2 linked regions of the Oryctolagus cuniculus genome follow. The protein of the gene in region 1 binds, or shares a complex with, the protein of each later gene. Links are inferred from orthologs where the notes say so. Each region holds a gene or a part of one and is shown on either strand. Other genes may lie near its edges.

The links. The genes of interacting proteins can lie anywhere in the genome.
Region 2: GATB (region 1) and GATC share a complex: the UniProt entries of both Homo sapiens proteins name them as parts of the heterotrimeric GatCAB amidotransferase (AdT) complex. The link is inferred for Oryctolagus cuniculus from reciprocal best matches to the Homo sapiens genes GATB and GATC.

Annotation. Positions count from the first base shown.
Region 1 is NC_091439.1:12,867,560-12,874,324, reverse strand, and holds part of GATB (glutamyl-tRNA(Gln) amidotransferase subunit B, mitochondrial), read right to left. Parts: intron 6,675-6,765; coding exon 6,630-6,674; intron 4,721-6,629; coding exon 4,531-4,720; intron 1-4,530. UniProt on the Homo sapiens protein: Allows the formation of correctly charged Gln-tRNA(Gln) through the transamidation of misacylated Glu-tRNA(Gln) in the mitochondria. The reaction takes place in the presence of glutamine and ATP through an activated gamma-phospho-Glu-tRNA(Gln).
Region 2 is NC_091452.1:16,475,881-16,483,414, reverse strand, and holds the start of GATC (glutamyl-tRNA(Gln) amidotransferase subunit C, mitochondrial), read right to left. Parts: upstream 4,316-7,534; 5' UTR 4,277-4,315; coding exon 4,196-4,276; intron 4,118-4,195; coding exon 3,945-4,117; intron 1-3,944. Other genes in the region: TRIAP1 (TP53-regulated inhibitor of apoptosis 1), read left to right, coding at 4,384-4,530, 7,009-7,092. UniProt on the Homo sapiens protein: Allows the formation of correctly charged Gln-tRNA(Gln) through the transamidation of misacylated Glu-tRNA(Gln) in the mitochondria. The reaction takes place in the presence of glutamine and ATP through an activated gamma-phospho-Glu-tRNA(Gln).

The sequences.
Region 1 (6,765 bases):
TGTCCCGTTTATGCCCTCATCCAGCTGCTGAATATCTACTGCATGCCAGCTATTACAGTAGACCCTGGAGTGTGCAGTGCTATCAATATCAATGGTCATGTTAAAAACACATAGCTTGGCCGGCGCCGCGGCTCAACAGGCTAATCCTCCGCCTGTGGTGCCGGCACCCCGGGTTCTAGTCCCAGTTGGGGTGCTGGATTCTTTCCCGGTTGCCCCTCTTCCAGGCCAGCTCTCTGCTCTGGCCTGGGAAGGCAGTGGAGGATGGCCCAAGTCCTTGGGCCCTGCACCCCATGGGAGACCAGGAGAAGCACCTGGCTCCTGGCTTCGGATCAGCACAGTACACTGGCCGCATCGGCCATTGTGGAGTGACCAACAGCAAAGGAAGATCTTTCTCTCTGTCTCTCTCACTGTCCACTCTGCCTGTCAAAAAAACAAACAAACAAACAAAAAAAACAAACAAAAAAAACATAGCTCAGGGTGGGCAAGTGGTACAGCAGTAGCACTGCTGCTCAGGATGCGGGGATCCTGAGCCCCAGTGGAGCGCAGCTCCTCTTCTGATCCAGCTCCTTACTACTGTGCCCCCGAGAGACGGCAGCTGACAGCTCAACTGCTTGACTCCCTGCTGCCAAGATGGGAGACCCAGACTGAGTTCTGGATCCTGGCTTTAACCTGCCCTAGCCCTGTATGTTGCAGCCATTTGGGGAGTGAACCAGTGGATAGAAGCTCGCTCTCCATCCATCTCGGTCTCTGTTTCAAATAAAAACAAAAATAAATAAAAATTTAAAACATACATAATCCAGTGGCTACTGAACAATAAAATGCCAAGATAAATTCCAGACTAGGGTTAAATTCTGAAGCTTCTCAGTATGTGTGTGTTAGGTGTGTGTGTGGGGGGGGGGGGCATGTGCATGATGCTTAATTTAATAAGCTTTCCTAAGGCTTGCAGCATGGAGCTGAAGCTCTGTGAAGCACACCTCCACCACTGCTATTTATTTAATGAATACTCCTGGGCACTCTTTAAATTGAAAGATGGTTCATTAGATTTGTGCATCTGCCCTTCTCAGCAATCTGTTGTGTTTCTGATGAAGGCAGGAAAAAACCACGACCATATCATTTTTGGTTGTGTTATGAGTAACTCAGCTTCCAATGATTACAAAGTCATAAAGGGCTCAGGCTGCCTCATTTCAGGAAAATAATTTGTCTGAGTCATTCTCTTGCCAGTCCTCTCTTGTCTTATTCTTATCCTGGACATGTCAAGTACTAGCCCCTTTGAAAAACAAAGCACTAATGAGCTAATACATTATCTGCAAGTGATAAAAATAAGGTTTATGAGGTATCAAAAGATAAGTCCTTTAAAAAAACAGCTAAGAAACAGCTTCCTTCTTGAAGCTTCCCCTTTTTGTCCCAACCGAGTTACTTACAACCTGCTCTGGGTTCCCATCGTACACTACGCATCTCTAGAATGACCTGCCGGGGGCTTGGTTACCTGTAGGGGCCTCTCCACATACAAGCGGTCTTTAAAAAGCTCATGGGAAAATGCATAGTATGAAAACACTATACATAGATTTCAAAATTATTTTGTACCAAAAGAACTTCTAACTTCATTTCTCCATGAACTTTTTGAAGGAGCTACACATAAACTCTTGAAAGACCAAAAAAAAAAAAAAAAAAAAAAAAAACACACCTTTTAAAGTATCTTTGTTCTTGTCTCTACCTGCTACTAAAGATGCTAACGAAAGTGGGTTTCCCTGAACAGGGCCTTTAACTGAGAAATCACACACTTACTCGTTCGCCACCCCTACCAAATGCTAACACAGGGTCTACCTCGGTGTGGCACCGTGAAGGAGCCAGGAATGAGGACGGACACAAACACAAATGTAAACATGTCCGCCCTCACACGTCAAGGCGGAATGCAACAACCCCGCACAGCTGCCCTCTGCAGCCTGGAGCAGAAACGGCTGTGCCAAGAGGTGAGTCTGAGGGTTCTCTGACTTCTCTTTTTTTTTTTTTTTTTTTAAATTTTTGACAGGCAGAGTGGACAGTGAGAGAGAGGGACAGAGAGAAAGGTCTTCCTTTGCCGTTGGTTCACCCTCCAATGGCCATTGCGGCCGGCGCGCTGCAGCCAGCGCACCACGCTGATCCGATGGCAGGAGCCAGGAGCCAGGTGCTTTTCCTGGTCTCCCATGGGGTGCAGGGCCCAAGCACCTGGGCCATCCTCCACTGCACTCCCTGGCCATAGCAGAGAGCTGGCCTGGAAGAGGGGCAACCGGGACAGAATCCGGCGCCCCGACCGGGACTAGAACCCGGTGTGCCGGCGCCGCTAGGCGGAGGATTAGTCTAGTGAGCCGCGGCACTGGCCTTCTCTGACTTCTCTTACGGATAAGGCCGATACGTGAAGCGAACCTTTAATGTTACATTCAGTGACTTCTCTAAAATCAGACTGGAGTAAAGAAACAGTCAAGAAACTCTGTTCATCACACACCACCCGAAGGGCTGGCCTTTGTCCAGGTGGCCACATGCCACCGAGAGGGTACCTGAGGTTTTTGAGGCTGAGCAGCCGGATCCATCACCTGTATAATCTGCCTGCAGGCTTGGTAATCAGCTCAAGTGGGCCGGATATCCAAGCAGTCTTGACAGGGGCTGGGGTGGGGGTGGGGTGGGGAGGAGATGTGTACGACCACAGTTCAGTCTGGGATATCAGCCTGGGGAAAACAGCTCACTGGAAGGAAGCTTCAGGCTCAGAAGTGCCCTGGACTGACTCGCAGAGCCAAGACGTGGCTGTCAGCACTGCTGCCGTGCTCGTCAGGGAGAATGGAACACAGAGGATGCCACAGCCCTTGCCCTCGCGATGTTCAACGATATTCACTGACAGATAATGACTGCACCGCGGATGCTGCGGCCACAGAGGTGTGGAGAAGGTGCAGCAGCAGCCCGCACCTGGCACCAGCACCTGGCCACACCTAACCATCACTGGAAAGCGGAGTTCTCACGTGAGCTCTCTGGATACGCACTTCTCCGAGCAGCTGCCTATGGAGGATGACGAGTAATCACTCCCGCAGCAAAGCGAATGCAATGGGACATCATGTAACATGAAATAAGCAAGACACAGATACACGGGTACGGCATGTCCTCTCCAGAGGTGGAGCTTAAAAAAAAAAGCCCATCTGAACTAGAAGAGTGATGACCAGGGACGCAGCAGGGTAGGGGAGAGAGCTGGGAGGAGGTTGGACAGTGGGTGCCAACTCAGTGAGACAGAAGTAACAAGTTCAAGTGCTCCACAGCGGGGGACAGGGGCACCCACAGCGCGCAAGGCTGTCTGGTGTTCTGTGGGAAGAACTGGAAGAGAGCACCTGGCAGGCTCCAAACACAAAGGCAAGATAAGGAGGCGGAAAGCCCAGTTGCCTGGTTTGATCAGCTATGATGCACAAGTTGAAATAATGCTCTGTACTCCATAAAAATGGACAAGTGCTACAGGGTAATCAAAATTTTTTTAAAAAGCTCAAAAATGGTTAAAAAAATCTGTCATTCAATACACATTTGGTTGCCTATTCTGTACCAGAAACTGCTAGGCTGCCGTTGTTAAAGCATATAAATAAAAATACAAGGGTATGTTAAAAAGTCCACGGAAAATGGTGTTAAGCTTATTTTGGTACAAAAAATATTTTAAAGTCCATGCATACAACAGGGACTTCAAAAAGTTCCTGGGAACTGTGTATTATGAAAAAGCTATGCAGGGATTTCCAATTTTTTTTTTTTTTGCACCAAAATAAACATCTCTTAATTCCATTTTCCGTGAAGCTTCTGCAGTCCCCTCGTGTTGGATTCCCGCGCTCCTACAGAGGTATTACTGGCCATTTAAAAAGCTCCCACAGAGCCTGCGGCTGCAGAAGGCAAGTGCGGCAGCCCCGAGAGGCAGAAGAGCAGCACTTTCCGCTTCCTCCCTCTCAGACAGGAGAAGACAACTGTGACAAAACGCTTCCCTCGCTGACGCCGCAGCACTCCACGCTGCCTGACAAAGAAAACCGCAAAGCCCCAAGCAGCTCTGAAGCGGATGGAAACTCCCCAAGCAGCGCTGAACGCTGTCTGGTTGTCTACCAGCTCCTTCAGACGCTTCGGCCAGCCTCCAAGGGCAGAGGCTCCCAGTCAGGGTTCTCAGCACTTGGTGCGGAATAAAAGTTTCCTCCCACGGGCGGCAAAACCACTGGCAGGTTTTGAGACCCCCGCCTCCCGCCCGCCCCTGCTGTGGTCCAACACTGAGGTTCTGTGGGGATCCTTGCCTCACAGCGTCTGTGCAGCTGCTGTGAGCGGCTGTTCATTTCCACGCCCAAGAAATCATGAATGCCAGATTCTGCTTCCTCTTCTGGTTTTACCAGGAGCACACCCGGCATAGGGGGTAGGGAGCAAGGGTTCCAACGCCCATTCTTCCCAGAGGCACCTGGAGTAGAGCCGCGGCGCCCTGCCCACTCCACTCCAGGCCACGGCGGCCCGCTGTCTGCCGAGCCGGGTTTGTTGGAGCCCATCAGTGCGTACCAGCAGAGTGAAGCTGTGCTCAGGCAGCATCCCGTACTGCTGAACCAGCCGCGCCCGCGTCTCGCTCGGGAGCTCGGGGAGCGTCTCCCGGATCCGGTCGATATCGATCACTTGCTGGGGGTCGGCGCCTGCAGGCAGAGACGTGGAGTCGTAGAGCAGCAGGGGAGGCAGGTTGGGTTCTGGCATAAACCTGGGCCGAGAGAGGAGATGGGGCCTGAAGCTGGAGTCCTTGGTTTCACGAGGGAAAAACCAATCTACCTGGAATCCGAATGCTTCCGTGCTTAGATGCCACGTTACTTTCTCATGTCCTGCAGGATCAATTCTGTCTCCCAGGACAGTCTCCACGCAAGTGTCCAAGCCGCCACACTGCCCCCTCCCTGCTTACATAATGATGAGTGGAACGAGCAGGACCTGGCACGGAAGCCACACTTCTGTTTACGACTGTGGGTGGAGGATATATTTGCAATGACCGGAAACAACAGAACCAAACAAGAACGCTGTACTTTGGAAAGAGAGCCCAGTCCTCCATTCTTAATTTCCACTGGCTCTTAGCAGTACTTGCGCAGTAAAAGAAAAGTTAAAAGGGGGGGGGGGCGGCAACTTTCCTTTTTGAAGAAGTGCAAGAAATGAATGGCTTTTGCCTCAGTGTGGAAGGTGGTGGGGCGGGAGGAGGGGTGCACAGGTGGAGCGCAGGGCTTTTTTTTAGGGCAGTGAACCGGCAGGTATGGCACCGTGCCGGTGGGTGCGGCGTTACAGCCATCACAGCCATGTCAGATCCCAGAGACTGGAGCCTGATGCACACTGTGGGCTTTAGTTAAGGAGCTAGTGCTGGTTCATCATTGTAGCAAACCACCTACCACTCTAACATACAACGTTAATAACAGAACCTGGGAGGGGCGGGGCGGAGAAGGGAGCATATGAGAATGCTCTGTACTTTGCGCTGAGTTTTGGTCAACCTGCAACTGCCCTTAAAAACACTGAATTGTTATACAATGTGGCCGCGTGGCCGCTAGACCACCGCATATAATCCTATGAAACAAAGATGTCCCCTCCCTCTGCTCCATTCCAGCGCTAGCGTTTTCTTTTTGCCCACATTTGACAAAGAACTTATGTAAATGCAGAATAATGCACAACGAATGGCAGCTGGAAGGTAATAGATCAGAGGTGTGAGCAATCCATCACCTCAATGCCGAGTCTCTGCTATGAATCAGCCTGCCTTCTGAAGGCAAGAGGGAGCCAGAGGGAGGCGTCCTGCAACTCACGTCCACGCACGGGCGGGGCTGCGCTGGAGCTTCTGGCTGAGTTCAAAGCCACACTCCACGCTCAGAGTGCAGCAGCGACAGGGAGGGAGCAGCCGTGAAAACCAAGGGGGTTCCGATCACAGGAATGGAAGTCGTCACTCTGACAGACGCAGGGCAGGAGTTCTTGGTGAACTTCACTCTAGGGACTTAAATGAGTCTCTTCTCTCCCAAAGCACAGTGCTCTGTTTGGTCCTCACTGACAGCAAGAGCTACGCATCTGCCTTCCTACACTTCATCAGGCAAAGTGGGTTCTACTCAACAACTGTGCTGCTTAAGAAACTTCGATCTTTGCAAACTGCTCAACTCAGTGGGAAAAAATAAAAGGCCCGATTTATCTGAGGCCTATCCTCGCTGGTGGCTGTAGCTGTGCCCCTCATAGTAAGCTTCGTTTATCAATGAAACAGCAGCTTTTGGGGTCTGAAAGGAACTACCACGGGCATTTCTGAGAACGTGTCTACTTTCAAGACAGCAGTGCATCTGTCATTGATTGTAAGTACAGCAGCCTCCAACCCAACCCCAACTGCCATTCTCTCAGCTCAACGCTAACAACTTTGACACGAAGAGTGAGCACGTGTTTTCCAACAGCTGCATGCCACCACACGAGGCACCCAGATGCCAGTTTATCAAGAAAATAGTTCTCTCAAGGACACAAAAAATAGAAAGCCTTCGCTTTCCATCCTGGAACAGCACCACCGCAAGCGGCCCCTGTCCAGGATCATTAAGTTGATCTCTAACCGGATGAGAAACACGCCCCTAACTCCACATATGTTGCGGCATTTTGACACGAGCAGCAATTACCTGTAGTCTTGTTTTCCTTCTTTGTCTCTCATTGGCACAGTGCACCTGCAACAGGGAAAGAAGATGTGAGACGCACACTGCACACAGCACTGACCTACCTAGATGCAGAGCAGGTTTCCCCTTCTAGTAAGGGACA
Region 2 (7,534 bases), on another chromosome or scaffold:
ATTACTAACACAAACTGGTTTTCTAATATACAGAAGGTGCAAATCACTGAATGCCAAGTTGAGATCCCAGCTAGTAGATCCAGATCCCTCATCTTTTTCACAAAATTCCCTTTGTATTTTTTTTTTAATTATTCATTTATTTAAAAGGCAGAGTTACAGAGAGGCAGAGAGAGAGAGAGAGAGACTTCTATCCACTGGTTCACTCCCTAAATGGCTGCAACTGGGTCGGTCTTTTGGGAGCCAGGAACTGTTTCTGGGTCTCCCATGCGAGTGCAAGGGCCTAAGCACTTGGGCCATCTTCTACTGCTTTCCCAGGCCACAGCAGAGAGCTAGATCAGAAGTAGAACAGCCAAGACTCAAACTGGTGCCCATACAGGATGCTGGCGCTCCAGGTGGTGGCTTTACCTGCTACATCAGTGTCAGCCCCTCCCTCTGTAATTTTTAAAAATTTACTCATTTGAAAGGCACAGTTAGAGATGTCTTCCATCTGCTGGTTGACTCCCCAAATGGCTGCAAACTCAGGTATGGGCCAAGCCGAAGCTAGGAGCTTCATCTGGGTTTCCCACCTGGGTGCAGGGACCCAAGGACTTGGGCCATCTTCCACTGCCCTCCCAAGCACATTAGCAGGAGCTGGATTGGCAGTGCAGCAGCTAGGACTCGAACCAGCACCCACCTGAGATGCTGATGTTGCAGGTGGCAGCTTAACCCACTAAGCACAACACTGGCCCCTGATTTTATTCTTTATAGTTACCCTCTAGGTGATGGAAGATTCTGACTCCTCTTCAGGCTTCTGTTCCTTCCTTTCCCAAAGATACTAATAAAGAACAGTCTTTCAGTAAATGTTTACTGAGTATCTATTTGGTGTTACACATTGCAAACATGAGCAGAAATAGACATGCTCCCAAGAACACAGATGAACAGGAGAGGAGCAGAGAAATCAGGTGTCACTCAAATAGATGTGTGAATAGGTGTATTGTACTTACTGAATACCATGAAGAGTCACATGTCCTGAAAGAACCTAATTCAGTACAATGAAGGGGCCAGCAATGTGGTACACCAGGTTAAGCCACCTGCGATGCTGGCATCCCATATCAGGAGCCCCAGTAGAGTCCTGGTTGCTGCCCTTCCCATCTAGTTAACTGCTAATGTACTTGTGAAGGCAGCAGGAAATGAACCAAGTGCTTGGGCCCTTGCTGTCCACGTGGGAGACTAGGATGGAGCTCCTGGCTTCCACCTGGCCCAGCCCTGGCCGTTGTGGCCATATTTGAGAAGTGAATCAGCAGATGGAAGATCTCTCTCTGTTCAAATCTTGAGAAAAAAAAAAAAAGACTTCTTAAGGAGGTGGCATTTGAAATTTGAAGTAGACAAAAAGAGGAGTGGTGGGAGTGAAGGCCAGGCCGGAATTCTAGGAAGGAGAGCGCATGAAGAACTGAAAGGCTAGGTTTGATGACTCCCTGCAGGCTCCACTGATGCTGTCTTCACCCTAAGGAGCAGTGTGAAACCTCCAGGACGCAGGCCACAGAATGAAAATCAGATTCCATTTTGAAGTGCAGTGTAATAGCAGATTCACTGCCCTGACCCGAGTGCCAGATTGCAAGGAAGAAGAAAGGTTGGAAGAAAGCGTGGCAGTTAGGAGCAAGACTCACACAAAGAATGTAGTCGCAGATCGTCTGGCTGGGCCTGTTCACTAGCCAAAGGCAGCGAATCTTCCTTGCGTCCACTTGCAGTTAGGACTGCTTTTGTCTATTATTTCTACCAAGAAAAGGCTAGGATAGTTGTCAACTGTCCCTATGATTATGAGCTATGTAGTAGTTGACTTTATAACAAATTACCAGAGACAGGCTGCTTTATAGACAAAGTTTATTTTGGTTTATGGGCCTGAGGTTCACAGTCCAGGATCAGGTGGGTCCCCAGTTCAGCAGCTATGTCTGTGTTGATCTGATTTGTCTGACCCTTTACAAGGCCACCAGGACTCCAGTCAGGGCTCCATCCTAATGATCTAACTTAATCACCCAGGGCCCCGCCACCCAGCACCATGATTGAGTTAAGTTTCTGCTCAGTTCTGTTAAGTGTTTGGGGACTAACATCCGGCCTGACTCTGGGGGAGGGAGCACAGCAAGTCACCCATCCTCCTGTCCAAGCAGCTGTAGCCCCCGACAGCAAATCAAGTGTGCTGCTGGGAAGCAGCTTTCCCCAGGAAGGCGCTTCCTTTCAAATTAAGATCTGGCAGCAGTTGGTAGAGGTGGGCGGAAACCGCTCCTGCTGTTCACAGCTGCTTTGTCAGCAAGTCACCTGTCCCCACTGCATGACACTGCGCTACTTCACTCACTGATACCGCTGCTCTCAGGCACATTATGTGTGGGGGCCGGCGCTGTGGTGTAGCAGGTAAAGCCACCGCCTGCAATGCTGGCATCCCATATGGGAGTCCTGGCTGCTGCACTTCCGATCCAACTCCCTGCTATTGTGCCTGGGAAAGCAGTAGAAGACAGCCCAAGTGCTTGAGCCCCTGCACCCGGAAGAGGCTCCTGCTCCTGGCTTCGGATCAGCCCAGCTCCGGCCATTGCAGCCATCTGGGGAGTGAACCAGGGAGTGAGTGAACCAGGCAGTGAGTGAACCCTCCCTCTCTCCCTCCCTCTCTCTCTGCCTCTGCTTCTCTGTAACTCTTTCAAGTAAATAAATATATCTTCAACAAAAACAAAGTTTCCTTAACATTCCCATGAATTAATCATTTTGTGAATTTCTTGCATTTGCTTCTGGGGAACACAACTTAATTATACACCAGCAGATGTAGACTACACATATGGTATGAACAGTGCTGATTTTTACACTTGATCTTAGCCAAAAGGCCAAGAAGCAATGTGTACTGGGTTTTTAAAAGGATTTATTATCTATTTCAAAGACAGATATTACTTATTTCAAAGAGACAGGGAGAGAGAGCTTCCATCCTCTGGTCCACTCCTCAAACAGCCACAACAGCCAGGGCTGGGCCAGGCTGCAGCCAGGAGCCTGGAACTCCCGTCTGGGTCTCCTACGTGGGTGGCAGGGGCTCAAGTACTTGGGCCACCTTCTGCTGCCTTCCCATGCACGCTAGCAGGCAGCTGGGACTGGAAGTGTCACAAGCAGCGGCTTCACCTGCTGCACCACCACAAGGGCCCCAAAGAGTACTGCTCTAATGCTGCCTTTAAAGAAAAAATAGGCATGTCTCAGAGACTTCTCCATGGCAGCGTATATGATGCTATTTGTAGGCTGATACGCGATACACACAAATAACATGTAGTTGTTTCGTTATTTTTAAACTGCTGAATATTCCATTGTGGAAGTGTGTATTTGCCATTTGTTTAGGTTGTTTCTGGGTCCTGTTTTTCGTGTTCTGAAAGGTTTGCCATGGGCTTGTGCCTGCGTCTTGCTGCACTTTCACAGATACTTCCTTAGGGAATCAGTACATCAGAAAATGCATAAAATCTCGAGACAGCAAGCAGCTCAGTGAACTCACACTGTAATAATAACGACAACAAATCAACGCAGGAAACCCCCAACGAGACAGAGTTGGTGACTGGAAGGGGAGAGGGGATTCGGAGTGCCAGGGGGCCACTCTGAGGAGATAAGCCGAGGTCAAAGAGCCAAGGAAGGAGGAGCCAGCCGTGCAAACTCCGGAAGGCAGAATGCACAAATGAGAGCCGACCCGGCCGGTCGCGGAAGCAGTCGGGGAAGCCAGCCTAGTGGCAGCACAGTGTGTGAGACCCCAGGGGGAGGTGCCTCCACGGCGAGGAGCGGCCGTTCGGATTTTGCTCCCGCTTACGTTGGGCGGGCGCGGGGATTGTAAGCGGGAGTGACAGCATGCATAATGAACACATGTCGCTGTGAAACGGGGGCTCCAGCCGCCACCTGCAGCGGCCTGCGGAGGTGCCTCCGTCCAGGCCGGGGGGCCGCAGCCGCGAGCTTACCTGTCCTCCAGGACCGACTCCATGGGCTCCACGCCGTCCGTGTCCACCTCGCGCAGCCGGTCGGCGAAGGCGATGGCTTTCTCCAGCCGCGCTACGGCCTCCTGACTGCCGAAGTCCACGAGCGCTAGACGCTCCAGGTGCTCGATCACCTCGGCCGTCACCCGGCCACTTCCCTGGGGAATGAATCGGGGAGGGTGGGTCACACGGACGCGGCCCGCTCCGCCACCCGCCTAGACGTCCCGGGCCTTTACCTGAGCATCCGCCTTGGCGGTGAAAGCCCGGAACCCACCCAGGGGAGCCCGAAGGCCCAGCCGTACTGCCCGCGCCCACATGTCTCCCCTTCCCGGCACCCGTAGTGCGCCACCCGTAAGGCCGAGCGACGCGCTTAAATGTGACGCCATCAGGGTGCGCCCCTGCCGCCTCCTTCGCAGCCATCGCCATGAACAGCGTTGGGGAGGCGTGTACAGACATGAAGCGCGAGTACGACCAGTGCTTCAATCGCTGGTTTGCTGAGAAGTTCCTCAAGGGGGACGGCTCTGGGGACCCGTGCACCGACCTCTTCAAGCGTTACCAGCAGTGCGTTCAGGTGAGCCGCCGACCCACGTCCCGTGCTCTCTGCCGTGGGCTCCGCCACATTGCTTACGTCTTGCCGTGGCTGGAACCGAGAGCGGGGATGAGGGCCGTAGTGAGGGCAGCGGCAGGAGCCCTCTCCCCGCCCATCAGCACCGAAGCCGCCTGGGTGCCTCGCTGAAAGGCCAAGTACATATTTTCGCAGTGTTTTGCTTTTTATAGAGCACAGTGACATCCTTTGGCTCGTTTGGTGCTTATTCCAAACTTACACAGTGGGCAGAGTTGTTCGTAATTTGTCCATGGCAAACGACACTCAGAATTAACGGGTTGGGCTGGAGCTGGGAACTCAGTGCAGGTCTCCCGGCTGGGACACAGGAACCCAATTACTTGAACCATCACCGCTGCCTCTAGGGTCTGCATTGGAGCAAAACGAACCCGGGCACCCAGATAATGGGACGCGGTCGTCTTAGCAGCTTAGCCGCTTAGCCAAAACCTGACCCTCAACCAATACTGAGAGCGGCTGACAGCTCAGAGGGTTAGTCTTTCTCCAGCTTTTAGGCACTATGGAAGATCCCATCGTTTTGTTGTTAAAATCAATCTTTCTTTCTTTCTTTCTTTCTTTCTTTCTTTCTTTCTTTCTTTCTTTCTTTCTTTTTATTTATTTATTTTGGACAGGCAAAGTTAGTGAGAGAGAGACAGAGAGAAAGGTCTGCCTTTTTCCGTTGTTTATTTTGGACAGGCAAAGTTAGTGAGAGAGAGACAGAGAGAAAGGTCTGCCTTTTTCCGTTGGTTCACCCCCCAAGTGGCCGCTGCATACCCGGCGCACCGCGCTGATCCGATGGCAGGAGCCAGGTGCTTCTCCCATGCGGGTGCAGGGCCCAAGCACCTGGGCCATCCTCCACTGCACTCCCGGGCCACAGCAGAGAGCTGGCCTGGAAGAGGAGCAACCGGGACAGAATCCAGCGCTCCAACCGGGACTAGAACCCCGGGGTGCTGGCGCCGCAAGGCGGAGGATTAGCCTAGTGAGCCGCGGCGCCGGCGTAAAATCCTTTTCTTGGCCTATGTCTGTCTCAAGCAGTCCTTAGCTGCGGCTATGAAATTTTCATGCAGGCTCAGTGGATGTGGAACTGCTCTGAGTTACAGTAGCACTGAGCCAGGCCTTCCCAAGAGGGTAACCGAAGTCAGCTTCACACTGACTGTGAGATGGTTGCTGTCTTTACCCGTTACTGACGAGGAAAGTGAGGTCGGCTCAAGGTCACAGCCAAGAAGTCCTGGCACCCATGTTTGTACCCATGTCTGTCACAAAGAAAAGGGGGAGACTTGTCATTCAGGTTTCATTTTTGAATTTTAATGGCTTCTCACAACTCCTCTTTTAATTTCTCTGGTTTTACACTTGGTTGCTTCATAATAGAACTTCTGTCTGTTTAAAAGTGATCTGGATAAACAATAATATAAATGTGTGGTTTGGGGCAGGTGTTGTGGTGCAGCAGGTTAAGCCACCGCTTGGGGCACCTTCATCCCATGGTGAAGTGCTGGCTGAGTCTGGGCTACCCACTTCAGATCCAGCGTCCTGCTTATGCAGCTGGGAATGCAGCAAATGATGGGCCAGTTACTGGGGTCCCTGCTACCCACCTGGGAGAGCTGGATGGAGCTCCTGGTTCGTGGCTTCAGCCTGGGCCAGCCCCAGCTGTTACAGGCATTTGGGAACCAGCAAATGGAAGATCTATCTCTGTGTGTCACATGCTATTCAAATAAATAAATAAATAAATGACCTGCAGCATGGTTGTGAATCCTGTTTATTTGGCAGAGAGAGGCACTCCATCTGTTTGCTGACTCCCTAAATGTCTGCAACCTAGCCAAAGCCAGGAAGTGGTAACTCATTCTCTTCTCCGGGTGGCAGGCGCCCAATTACCTGAGCCATCGTTGTTGCCTCCTGAGATCTACGTTAGCAGGAAGCTGGAGTCAGAATCTAGAAATTGGAGATGAGAATCAAACCCAGGTACCCAGTGTGGGATGTGGGGACTCGGGCATCTTAGCTGCCAGGCAAAATGCCCACCCCATGGCTGAGTCTGTATAGCATAGTTTGATTTTACTTTAAGATTTATTTTATTTATTTGAAAAGACAGTTACACAGAGAGGTAGAGACAGAGAGAGTCTTCCATCCACTGGTTCACTTCCCACAGCTGCAGTGGCTGGAGCTGAGCTGATAGAGCCAGGAGCTTCTTCCAGGTCTCCCACGTGGGTGCAGGGTCCCAGGGATCTGGGCCATCCTCCACTGCTTTGCCAGGCACATTAGCAGGGAGCTGGATCAGAAGTGGAGCAGCCAGGACTCGAACCGGCACTTATTTGGGATGCCAGCACTGCAGGCAGTGGCTTTACCTGCTATGCCACAGCACCAGCCCTTGATTATACTTTTGTACCATCACATCTTGTTTACAAAGTTTGGTCTTTGAGCATCGTGTAGACCTTATAATGTGTTTTCTCCCCTCACCAGAAAGCAATAAAGGAGAAGGAGATTCCTATTGAAGGACTGGAGTTCATGGGCCATAGCAAAGAAAAGCCTGAAAACTCTTCTTGACCTTGACAGACACCTTGCAGTTGTAGCCCCTCCAATCAGGAAACTGAGGACCCTGGATGAGTCCACTGAGATTGTGAAGATGACCATTGGATTTGATGTGGTGGTTAGTTTTCTTCCTCACTTGTAAGAGGATGAACCACCCACCATTCTGCTTCGAGATGATCTTTCACTTGCTCTAGCATCTCGCAGGAACTCATTGTGCTGAGAGGAACAACTTCTTGGGACTATGGGTGCAATATTTGGTCTAGCGTTAGCTTTAAATATACCTTGTAGGTAAATAATGATAAACTAGCCAGGATGATCAAGGTTGCCTGACCTCTTGATTTTTGCTGCGAATGATATGACATACACTGTACTGGGGTCATTCTTCATCAAAGCAGTAGGCCCGGATCTCTCTCTCTCTCTCTCTCAGGGAGCTAATGCTCTGACAAGGGGTCTGGGC